Linked DNA regions of Mus musculus. The protein of the gene in region 2 interacts with the protein of the main gene of each other region in a pairwise test. Links are inferred from orthologs where the notes say so. Each region holds a gene or a part of one and is shown on either strand. Other genes may lie near its edges.

Evidence for each region. The genes of interacting proteins can lie anywhere in the genome.
Region 1: the proteins of Nudt18 (region 2) and Paics interact in binary tests that used the Homo sapiens proteins (3 or more experiments, as listed by UniProt). The two-hybrid records come from large-scale screens. The link is inferred for Mus musculus from reciprocal best matches to the Homo sapiens genes NUDT18 and PAICS.

Annotation. Positions count from the first base shown.
Region 1 is NC_000071.6:76,949,731-76,954,675, forward strand, and holds the start of Paics (multifunctional protein ADE2), read left to right. Parts: upstream 1-1,571; 5' UTR 1,572-2,089; coding exon 2,090-2,105; intron 2,106-4,945. Other genes in the region: Ppat (amidophosphoribosyltransferase), read right to left, coding at 1,227-1,354. UniProt on the Homo sapiens protein: Bifunctional phosphoribosylaminoimidazole carboxylase and phosphoribosylaminoimidazole succinocarboxamide synthetase catalyzing two reactions of the de novo purine biosynthetic pathway.
Region 2 is NC_000080.6:70,576,121-70,580,903, reverse strand, and holds the start of Nudt18 (8-oxo-dGDP phosphatase NUDT18), read right to left. Parts: upstream 3,081-4,783; 5' UTR 2,956-3,080; coding exon 2,794-2,955; exon of another isoform or gene 2,397-2,793; intron 1,993-2,396; coding exon 1,779-1,992; intron 1,571-1,778; coding exon 975-1,570; 3' UTR 1-974. UniProt on the Homo sapiens protein: Mediates the hydrolysis of oxidized nucleoside diphosphate derivatives. Hydrolyzes 8-oxo-7,8-dihydroguanine (8-oxo-Gua)-containing deoxyribo- and ribonucleoside diphosphates to the monophosphates. Hydrolyzes 8-oxo-dGDP and 8-oxo-GDP with the same efficiencies.

The sequences.
Region 1 (4,945 bases), on a different chromosome or scaffold from region 2:
TGCTATGTAGCCTCAAAAGCTCCAGATCAGTTTGCCTCTGCAGACCTCTCCAGTGCTTTGAGCTAGTCACTGCACCCAGCAAGTTGTAACTAATTTAAAAAACAAAACAAAACAACAAAAAACATAGTCCCCTACACCATATACATACACACATTCTCAAAACAATTTTTTTGGGGGGAGGGGGGTTCAAGACAGGGTTTCTCTGTATATATAGCCCGGGCTGTCCTGTAACTCACTCTTTAGACCTGGTTGGCCTCAGAACTCAGAAATCCACCTGCCCCTGCCTTCCAGTTGCTGGGATTAAAGGCATGCGCCACCACAGGGTGGCCCCAGATGCTTTTTTTTAAATAAATGTATGCGGAGTATGTAGAATGTCAAATAAGACTCTGCAAAAGGACAACTTCTAGGCTAAGTCTGGTAAGAATAATCATTAGTGATGCATGTAGCACCCACATTGATAAAAAGGGTTACTGCCCAGCTCTGGTCTAGACATTGTTGCTACTGTATTGTAAAACTCCGTGATAGAATAGTTTTTGAAGAGAGACAAAACCCTAGTTTGTATTATTTCCATAATACTGTCAGTGAAGTCAAGAAACAAATTATGGAGGCAAAGGTCTTTTTTTCTTTGTTTGCCCCAAAGGCATCTCCCAATTTCTCATAGCTATAACTACTTTTAAACTCACGATCTCCAAACCTCTAACTGCTTTCAGGCTGACAAATCTGCTCAGTAGCTCTGCCCTTGCAAACAAAGCTCTTGCAAGCAGGAGGCCCCGTGCAAAACAACAACAAATAGAAAAACCTTCAAGTGTTGCAGGACCTTCAGCACCACCACCCTACAGAAGCTTATCTCTAGAACAGTTCTAGTTTCAAGGAGATCTGAACGGTCCCTTCCCAACCTGGCTAGTGAAAGCAAACTCCAGAGTAACTAACCCGCGACGAGAGATGCACATTCTTGGGAGCTAACCTGTAAAGAGCACTCGGGAGCAACGCGACAGCCTAAGTTAAAGTCTATGCAGGCAAAGTGTACCCCACCCCCACTTGGTCAATATCCTGAGTAGGTACTTGACTTGATTCTCGAGATTCACCCTCCTAGCCCTGATCCCCCCTTCCCAGTCATGATCCACCCTCATTGTCTTGCGTTCCCCGTAGCACAGAGCTGGGAAGCGGCTCGTGGAACTGTGCAAATACTTGCCATTCCACCCCCACCCCTCCATCCTGTTGCTCACCGGTGCTGTAGCCCCACGAGTCCCAGAGTGATCACATGCGGCACATCTAGCTGCGTGGGCCAGTCTCCAGAAGCGATGCACCCAAACACACCACATTCCTCGCGGATCCCCAACTCCTCCAGCTCCATGGCGCCTCGGAAAGCACGTGGAGGGACCTGCTGCCGCGGCGTGGTCCAAGCACCAACCAGCTGTCCGCTCCGCTATCGAACGCCTCAAGAGGCTCGCGCTACTGACTGCCTCCTTCCCGGGCGGGCTAGGTTCTCGCTACTGCGGCGGCGCGCTTCATAGAAGGGGCGTGACCAGTTCTGCCTCCCGCTCTCCGCCAATCAGCTAGGGCAAAGAGAGGGGCGGGGCTACGGAGTCAAAGAGGTGGGGAGGAGGCCGAGGTCAGGATCGCTACTTTCTCTGCACGTGGGAGGCTCCGTTATTTTCCCGCGCCCAAGGAGTAGGTGATGAGAGTGGCGCAGCTGATCGCGTGGGTCCCTCAGAAAACCTGAGCCGTTCGTGCCCCCTGGTCTCACGCCGTCCCCCGGCCGTCAGGACTTGGTCCGCTCCAACCCAGAAACCTCTCCGGCCAGCGGGGGCCTTGCAGCATGCGCGCCACTTTTTGGCTGCCTGCGGGGAGGGGCCGCCCGGAAGCGGGGTCGCGTCAGCGCGCCTGCGCGGCGGGAAGCCTGGGGACACGACTCCAGCCCCAAGCACAGCCAGCCCGGTACTTCGGGTTCGCCGGTGGGCTGTGGGGCTAGGGCGTGTCCTTGATATTGCACCTCCCTTTCCCGCCCTCTGATCCTGTGGTCGCCCTTGTTTTCCAGAACACTGCCCTTTTTTCCCGCGCGGTCTGCTCCTCTAGTTCACCTCGGATAATGGCGACAGCCGTAGGTGAGTAACTTGCTTTCGGACCCTAGGGTCCCCCAGCCCTCCGTCAGAGAGCTAGCAGGCTTGACGCATACACGTGCGGCCCCGAGGTCGGATGCAGGCCTTCCGACAAAGTGCCTGATCGGGTTCCCCAAGACGGCGCCTGGGGCCCGGAGCCTGCACACATGGTCCAGGCGCTGGAAGACGTGCGTTAAACTCTTAAGCACCCAGAGCCTATTTAAATAGCCAAAAGAAGGCCCCGGGACGGGAAGGAAAGTAGCAGAGTGGGAAAGTACTCTGAAGGTGAAATGGCCAGAAACTAACCAAGTGCCTAGAAACCTTGTAATAAGCAGATAAACAACCAAGAAAATCTATCAGGGTTTTTGTTTATTCTGGTAAAGTTAATATGCCAATAATCTCCTTTACTGCAAGTTTCGTAGTTTAAAGTGTTTGAAAACAGGTCCAAAATTTTTTGATCAGATGCTTCTTTGCAATCCCTGGAATTTGGGATTGTGGGCGTGGGCTAGTAACACCCTTAGGATATGGGTGTGGAGAGTGCAAAGTTACTTTATCCACTAACAAAACACTGTCTTGGAACAACACAAGTTTCTAGATTAATAAGGAAGCAGATCCTGTGGGCACTCCAACATTCTTTCCCACCTATGAAAACCACCCTGAAGTTTATAGGTAGTACAGCTCCATAAAATTGGGAATTAGGGCCAGACTTTTTCTGAGACAATCCACAGCGCCAGTACTTCTAAACTAGTAAAAATCTTAGAATCTAACCTCTTCCCCACATCTGATGTGGCCCTGTGCTGACAAGGGTCCGAAGAAGGTGTTCATATCTATAGTTTAATTTTGAATGGCTGTAAACTACCCTATAGATTCTGGGAACTGGACCTGGGTGCACTGTAAAACATCGGAGTGTTCTTAATTGCTGAGCAATCTCTCTGGCTTCTATTTTACTTTGTTGGTTTTGTATCCGTGGTTGTGTGCACTTGAGTACAGATGCACAGAAGCCAGGGCCTGTCTTGAAGCAGGAGTACACATGAGCCACCCAGTGTAACTGCTGTGAACTGAATTTGGATCAAGTATTGACTAAAACTCGTGTCTCCCATATTAAATCAGTATCTTGTGTCTGTTGCTCTTTAGTATTTAGCAGCCCAATGGTTCTTGGGTTAAATCTACATAGCTAATGAGTTAGTAATGAACTAGATAGAAGGCAACAGTGGGTCAGGCTGAGTATAGAGATTTTCAAGAGGACACAAACATTAAGGAAGTTAGAGTTCCAGAAAGGAAATTTACAGCTCAAAACTGGAGTTAGACCATGAGGGGCTTTTTAAACTTTGTTAATTCTTCTAAACATTAAGTTAGGAAGATGGCTATATTCATCTTTTACCTCACTGAACTATAGTGGAAATATTAGACAAGTTATTTATCACCAATGTCAACCAGAATCAAATTTAGCGTAGTTGAGGGAAAAAAATTACATTTATTTAGTGCTAATTAGAATTGTAATCTTAGATACCCAAAGGCAAGTAGGTTGGAATAGTGTATTTAGGGTTTTTTGTTGTTGTTGTTGTTTGTTTGTTTTGTTTGTTTGTTTTCAAGACAGGGTTTCTCTGTATAGCCCTGGCTGTCCTGGAACTCACTTTATAGACCAGGCTGGCCTTGAACTCAGAAATCCACTTGCCTCTGCCTCCTGAGTGCTGGGATTAAAGCTGTGAGCCACCATGCTCGGCGGGTTGTTTTTTCTTTAAAGGTTTATTTAATATATATATCAGTACACTGTAGCTGTCTTCAGACACACCAGAGGAGGGCATCAGATCTCATTACAGATGGTTGTGAGCCACCATGTGGTTGCTGGGATTTGAACTCAGAACCTCTGGAGGAGTAGTCAGTGCTCTTAACCGCTGAGCCATCTCTCCAGCCCCAGTGTATTTAGTTTTTACAAGATGCCCTTTTTATGGTTTTAAACAAGAAAGCTTCATAACAAATCATTCACAGCAGTATAGTTAATATTACCAAAAATTGGGATTTCTGATGAGAAGAAAACTATCTCTGGGTAGTTTGGGGGGAAGAGTCAGTATATTGTAGGTAACAGGCTGTAAAGCTGATGTTCCAGAAATGCAGTTTGGTCCACTCCAAAGGTCATCTCACTTAGTTGTGGCCAACTAAAATTTGATCCAAGAAAGGAATTGGCCTCCTGCATCCATTTTTCCGTACACTGCACCAGTGATAGGCCATTGATTTTTCTTCTTGGACACTTAACTGCTTCCTGTGCCAGCTGGTGGTGTGACCTGATCGGCTCTTTAAGTTTGGGGTTTTGTTTTTGCCTATTTGGTTGTGTCTTGATCACTACCAAGCTACACGGTCCTGGAACACTAAGTGCTTAGCCATGCTGACCTTGCCTTGGCTGCTTGGTCTTTCAATTACCCCTTGTTAAAGTCTGATCTTTTTTCATGTCTGTTCAGCTTTTACTTCATTCTCGACTTCTCTGTAGGGTGTGCCTGCTGTGAATAGTCTCTACCTTGTATTTTATTATAGTTTCTTATCAATTGCCAGCTTCCTTCGAGACTTAGGTCCCCTGAGAGCAGAAACTAGATTTCATTTGCTGTTCTGTCCACAGGCCCTGGCACACAGATACATTGGAAAAGTACTGAGGATGAGTGTTGCAAGATACCTGATCACACTGTGAACCCCAAGGATGCGTTACTTACTCAAGAGTGCTGTTTCTAGTTGTGATGTAGGTCAGCCCGTGGCACATATCTTTAATCCCAAACAGCAGTAAAGTTAGTTTGTAGAAGGAAGCAGCCATGTTTGAAAGTGATGTCTAATTTGAGTGGCAGGCAATCTGATGAATC
Region 2 (4,783 bases):
AAGAATTGGAGGCAGGAAGATCACAACAAACTTGATTGAGGTCAGCCTGGTCTATGTGGGCAGAGTCTATCTCAAGAAAACAGAATCCTGTGCTGGCCTGGGAGTGTAACCCATTGATAAAAGGGCTTGACTTCTGCAGAATCTGGATGAGTCAAGGTCATCACCAGCTACATTATAAGAGTTCACAGTCTGCCTGGGCGACATGAACTGAGGACAGGGACATGAACAAAAACCAAAAAGCCAGGTCCGAGAGCACACGGAACAGGTCAGAGCCCAGGAAGCTCAAAGAGAAAAAGACTGGCAGAGGCCAACGTGTCATCCTCAGCTCTTTCTTGTTCCCTAGGCAGTTTCACCAGACCGAACCGTTCAACACCTGGACAGGTCTGAGCTGTGCTTTTATTAGGGGTGTGGTCACTTCAAAGTCCCACGCCCGCCCTGACAGGACAGGAACACTAAAAAGAGCCTGGGTGGGTCGAGGCTTCAGCGAGCATCGATGTCTGCCTCAGGATCCTTACATCCCTGCATAGCATCAGTGTGTACACGGTGAGGAAAGACCTGGGTGACTGTGGGTGGGACAGTGCCCCATATCCTCCCCACACAGACATTTAGGCAAGCAGGCAGGTTAAGCAATACCTTTTTACTCAGCAATGAGGACTCTGCCCTGAGGGATGCGTCCCCCATGTCCCATCCCTCTCTACATTCCTATGGGGTTGGAAGGATTGACATGCAGCCTTTTCCAAAGTGGACAAAGATGGTGCCATTTAGGGTTCAAAAAGTTCCTCACCAACTTAAAAGACAAGTACTGTGTGCCCTCAGAACTGAGCCCTTGAAAAGTGGATTCAAGACACCCTCCCTTTGGGCTCAATGTGTGGTCCCTGCCCCCTCAAAATGTGCAATGAGATCCCTGACTGCCAGCCTTTTCTCTGCCTCAGAGGGAGGGGGCAGCTCAGCTTTTGGTCCCTGCTGGAATCTCTCTATCTGCTCAGGGGGATCACAGAAGATTCCTGGAGTCTGTACAGAAGCAGTTTTTGTAAATCTTCCTCTAATACCTTCCACCAAAAGTAGTTTTCACCCCGAATCTTTGGGGGCTCGTCTTGGATTCCTGGGTTCCGAAAAGCCACGGTCACCAGCACATTCAGGCAGACACCATCCACATGGTCTCTGCCTAGGTGTTGCAACCCAAGCAACCCCTTGGTCTCCACTGCCAAACTGTGCAGAGTCAGACACTCCTGTAGGAGCCTCAAGATGGCCACCTTGATGCCGCCCCTTTGTTCCATAGGGGTAAAGCCACAGGCAGTGATGGGCAAGTGAGGTGTCCCCACCGTGCCCACCAACACCCACACCGACTGGACTGTTGTGAAGGTGGTCACCAGCCGTTGGCAGACCACACTGCAGGGGAGCTCTTGAGGCAGAATGAGAGGGTGCATGGCTTGTTGGCAGAATTTGGCGCCTAGCTCTACCAGGTGCAGAACATCATGGGCTCTAAGCGGTGTGGGCAGGGAGACCCGTGGGTACCAGCCGGCCTGGAGGGACTCAGAATCAGCATCTTTGGAAGTCTTGAGAACTCCGCCTAGGAGAGATTTGGGGGGTGGGGTGGGAAGAGGGCCAGTATGAGAAGGGTTGAGCCTGAGAGAGTAAATGGCCACCCCAACACTCCAGAGAGAGAGAGACCCCCAAAAGCTCTTAGCCCGTAGTAGGTCAATGGCCATAAGCAGAAGCCCACAGTATGGCTGGCTATGGATGAGGGACCGTGAGAAATGTCACTAGGTGGGGGATACCTGTTGGTCGAGCGAGGAACACAAAGCGGATCCAGGAGGCGCCCCTCTCCTCCACGGACAGCAGTGTCACTGGCTCACAGAGCAGCCCTGCCTCCTCCTTCACCTCCCGCTGCATGGCCTCCACGATGGTTTCTCCTGGTTCCATTCTTCCTGCAGGGAGGTACCATGTCCCCCGGCATTCCCTCTTGGCCTCCTGTATCATCAACACCTCATCCTGGGAGGGAGGGAAGTGAGACAATCTTCACTCCTACCCAGCCAGTCTGGGGGCTTCAGAAGAGTAGCCCCTACCTGGATGGCAGCCCAAAGCTCCCTTCTTGGTAGACAGACACCTTTAGGATGCTGGATCCTCAGGAGTCAGGCCCTGATATGGCTGAAAGCAGTGGCTGTCTCCGCTTTGCTGTAACTCAAACCCAGAGGGACTTCTGTTGTAGAAAGGGGCTGAGGACCTTGGGCGTTGCTCTAGGAGGCTTCCTCCTGAAGGTTGCCACCACTCCTATACTGACTCATTTATGCCACTGTCTTGCTCTTGTTCCCATGGGACTTACAAACCGCCTGTGTCAAGTCCTCAATCTAGGGTCTGAGGCTTTGAAACTTAGCTCCACCCCTATACCAACCTACCCCTTCTTGGCCAGGATTTTATAACGCTGACTTGTGCAGAAGTGATCACTAAAAAGAACTCTCACAGGATCGGAGGCCTGCATGTAAGCTCCCCATTACTCTCCCGAGGCGCCGGGAGAGTCTAGACTCCTGGAAAGGAAGGGGGCATATTACAGGCCTCTCCTGGTGGGGGGCGAGGTCTAGTGGATGAGATAAACCGCCCCGGGACCTCGGCTTCTCCTTCCATATTATAGAGTCTACAGAAGGACGATCTCAGCTCAGCTGCTAGTGTTGAGAGTGCTTTGCAACATTGGGAAGCGCCACATACAGGCAGCGGCCGTTGGCTCGCCTGTTCAGATCAGGGCAGGCGGCACGCTCCCGAGACCAGCCGAAGGCCAGCGGCCGGTCGGACGCTCACCTGCTCGTTGAGGAACACGGCCAGCACCACGTAGCAGACATTCTTCCGCAGCCGCACGGGAAACAGCGGCTTCCCAGCCGGCTCCGAGTCACAGCTCTGCACCAGCAACCCCTTTCCCCCCAGCACGGTGGCAAGCGCCCCTGCCAGGCCCTCCGTGGCCATCAAGTCTCCGGGGAGGTGGCAAGCCGGGACCTGCCAGACCCCCGGAGGCAAGCGGCCGGGACCTGAGCTGCGGTGGGCCGCGGCGCCCTCGCCCCCTCCCCTGACTTGAGGGCCAAGACTAACACGGAACCTCCGGGAGAGACCTGGTCGCTGATAGGCTGCGCGTCACTGCGGCCTGCCCGGATTGGCCAGCTCGCAGCGGTTATCGGGAGGGCGGGGCGCCGGGATCCTCCCTCTGCCCCCTCCTCTCCTGGGTTTCAGCCTCACTTCACACTCTCCCTAGCGATTAGCTAATTCACCCAGCACGCACTTGTCCGCGCGGGTTCCGACGGTGATGTCATCCTGCCTGTAGGGTGATGAACACCACTGTGACCAGGGTCGATGGCGTCACTCGTCCGATGACATTACGGAAGCCCAGACTCCGCCGTTCGCTCCCACTGTCCAGCTTTTATCATAAACGAACCACAGAAGTGCTCACGACGAATAGGCCCCAAATAACTTTCTGACTTCGTTAAAATGCTCTGAATGTGGTATGGCTCAGGCACATAACGTTGCGTTAGAAATTCTGATCTGTCTAGGTCGATGGACACAGGGCATTTTAAGAGTCCGAGGCTAAAGGATTGGTTTGGGGGTGGGGTGGGGGATGGGGAACGTGATTGACAAGCCTCAGAGGAGGGATGGGACAGGTGGTCAAGGTGGGACAAGGCTGGGGATGAGAAGAAGCTAAGGGGGGGGGGGATGAATGAAAGGGAGATTGAAGTCAGCACTGTAGCCTGCATCCGATCCTGTGCCCAATGCTTTTCCCAGGCTTCTGAAACAGACTCCATCTTTAGAGGGCAGGGGTGGTGCCCTCCTACCCAGCGTCCAGGGCCTGGTCATGAGGAACAGGGTGTGGGTTGTTTTGGCCAGCTCCTGCTTCTCTCCCAGCCTGACCTTTCTTCCTCTGAGCTTCTTTAACCTCCACTCAGGACAGGAAGGCAGGGCCAGCTGAGAGGAATCCACAAAGCAGGCCAAGTCTGGGCTCCTCACCCCATCCCAGACTTCCCTTTCCTCCCCCACTGCTGGCTCTGTGTACCTCCTTTGGGGGACAGTGGCTTGATGGTACTGACAAAGCTCTGGAGTTTAAAAGCCAGACATCCAGCCTCTGCTGACTGACGTGCTCTGTGCCCTGGGTGGCCTCAATGTCCTCATCTGTACAGTAGGTCTGTAACAGCCCTCCTTTTCCATACTTGTTGAGAAGCCAAGAGAGCTTGGGAGAAGCCATGCACTATCTGAACACCGTCACCAGGCAGCCCACCTGTTCTCCAGGTAGGGTCTCAAAGCCATAGTCCATAGAGCACACCTGCACATACAAGAACACACACACCGTGAAACTGGGGAGTATAGCTCAGCGGTAGAGTATTTACCTAGCATACACAAGGCCCTGAGTTCAATTCCCAGCACCACAAAACCACATCTGTGCTCTGTAGACTTGACTGGCAGGCGATCTCAGCCCTCCGGGACTGGTCTCAGCCTTTCTTCTCCCCGATGCTGATGCAAACTCCCTGAAGAGGAAATCTACGTGAGGTTGGATGGGCACTGTTAGTGGCCCACAGTATTTTCAGGCACTTGGACACTTCTGACTTGAGGCCACTGAAGACCTCCTATTTCTAAATTAACTGTAGTCATCGGCAGAGGGTCAAGATCAGGCCCCAGGGTGCAGAGCCACTTGTTAAAGGCCTCCTCTCTCTTCTCCACCTCTCTCTTCCCCTACCCTCCTCTCCCCCTACCCCCCTTTTGCTCTCTCAGTGCCTCAGTTTTCCCATCTGTGAAGTGGAGGCAGCACTGG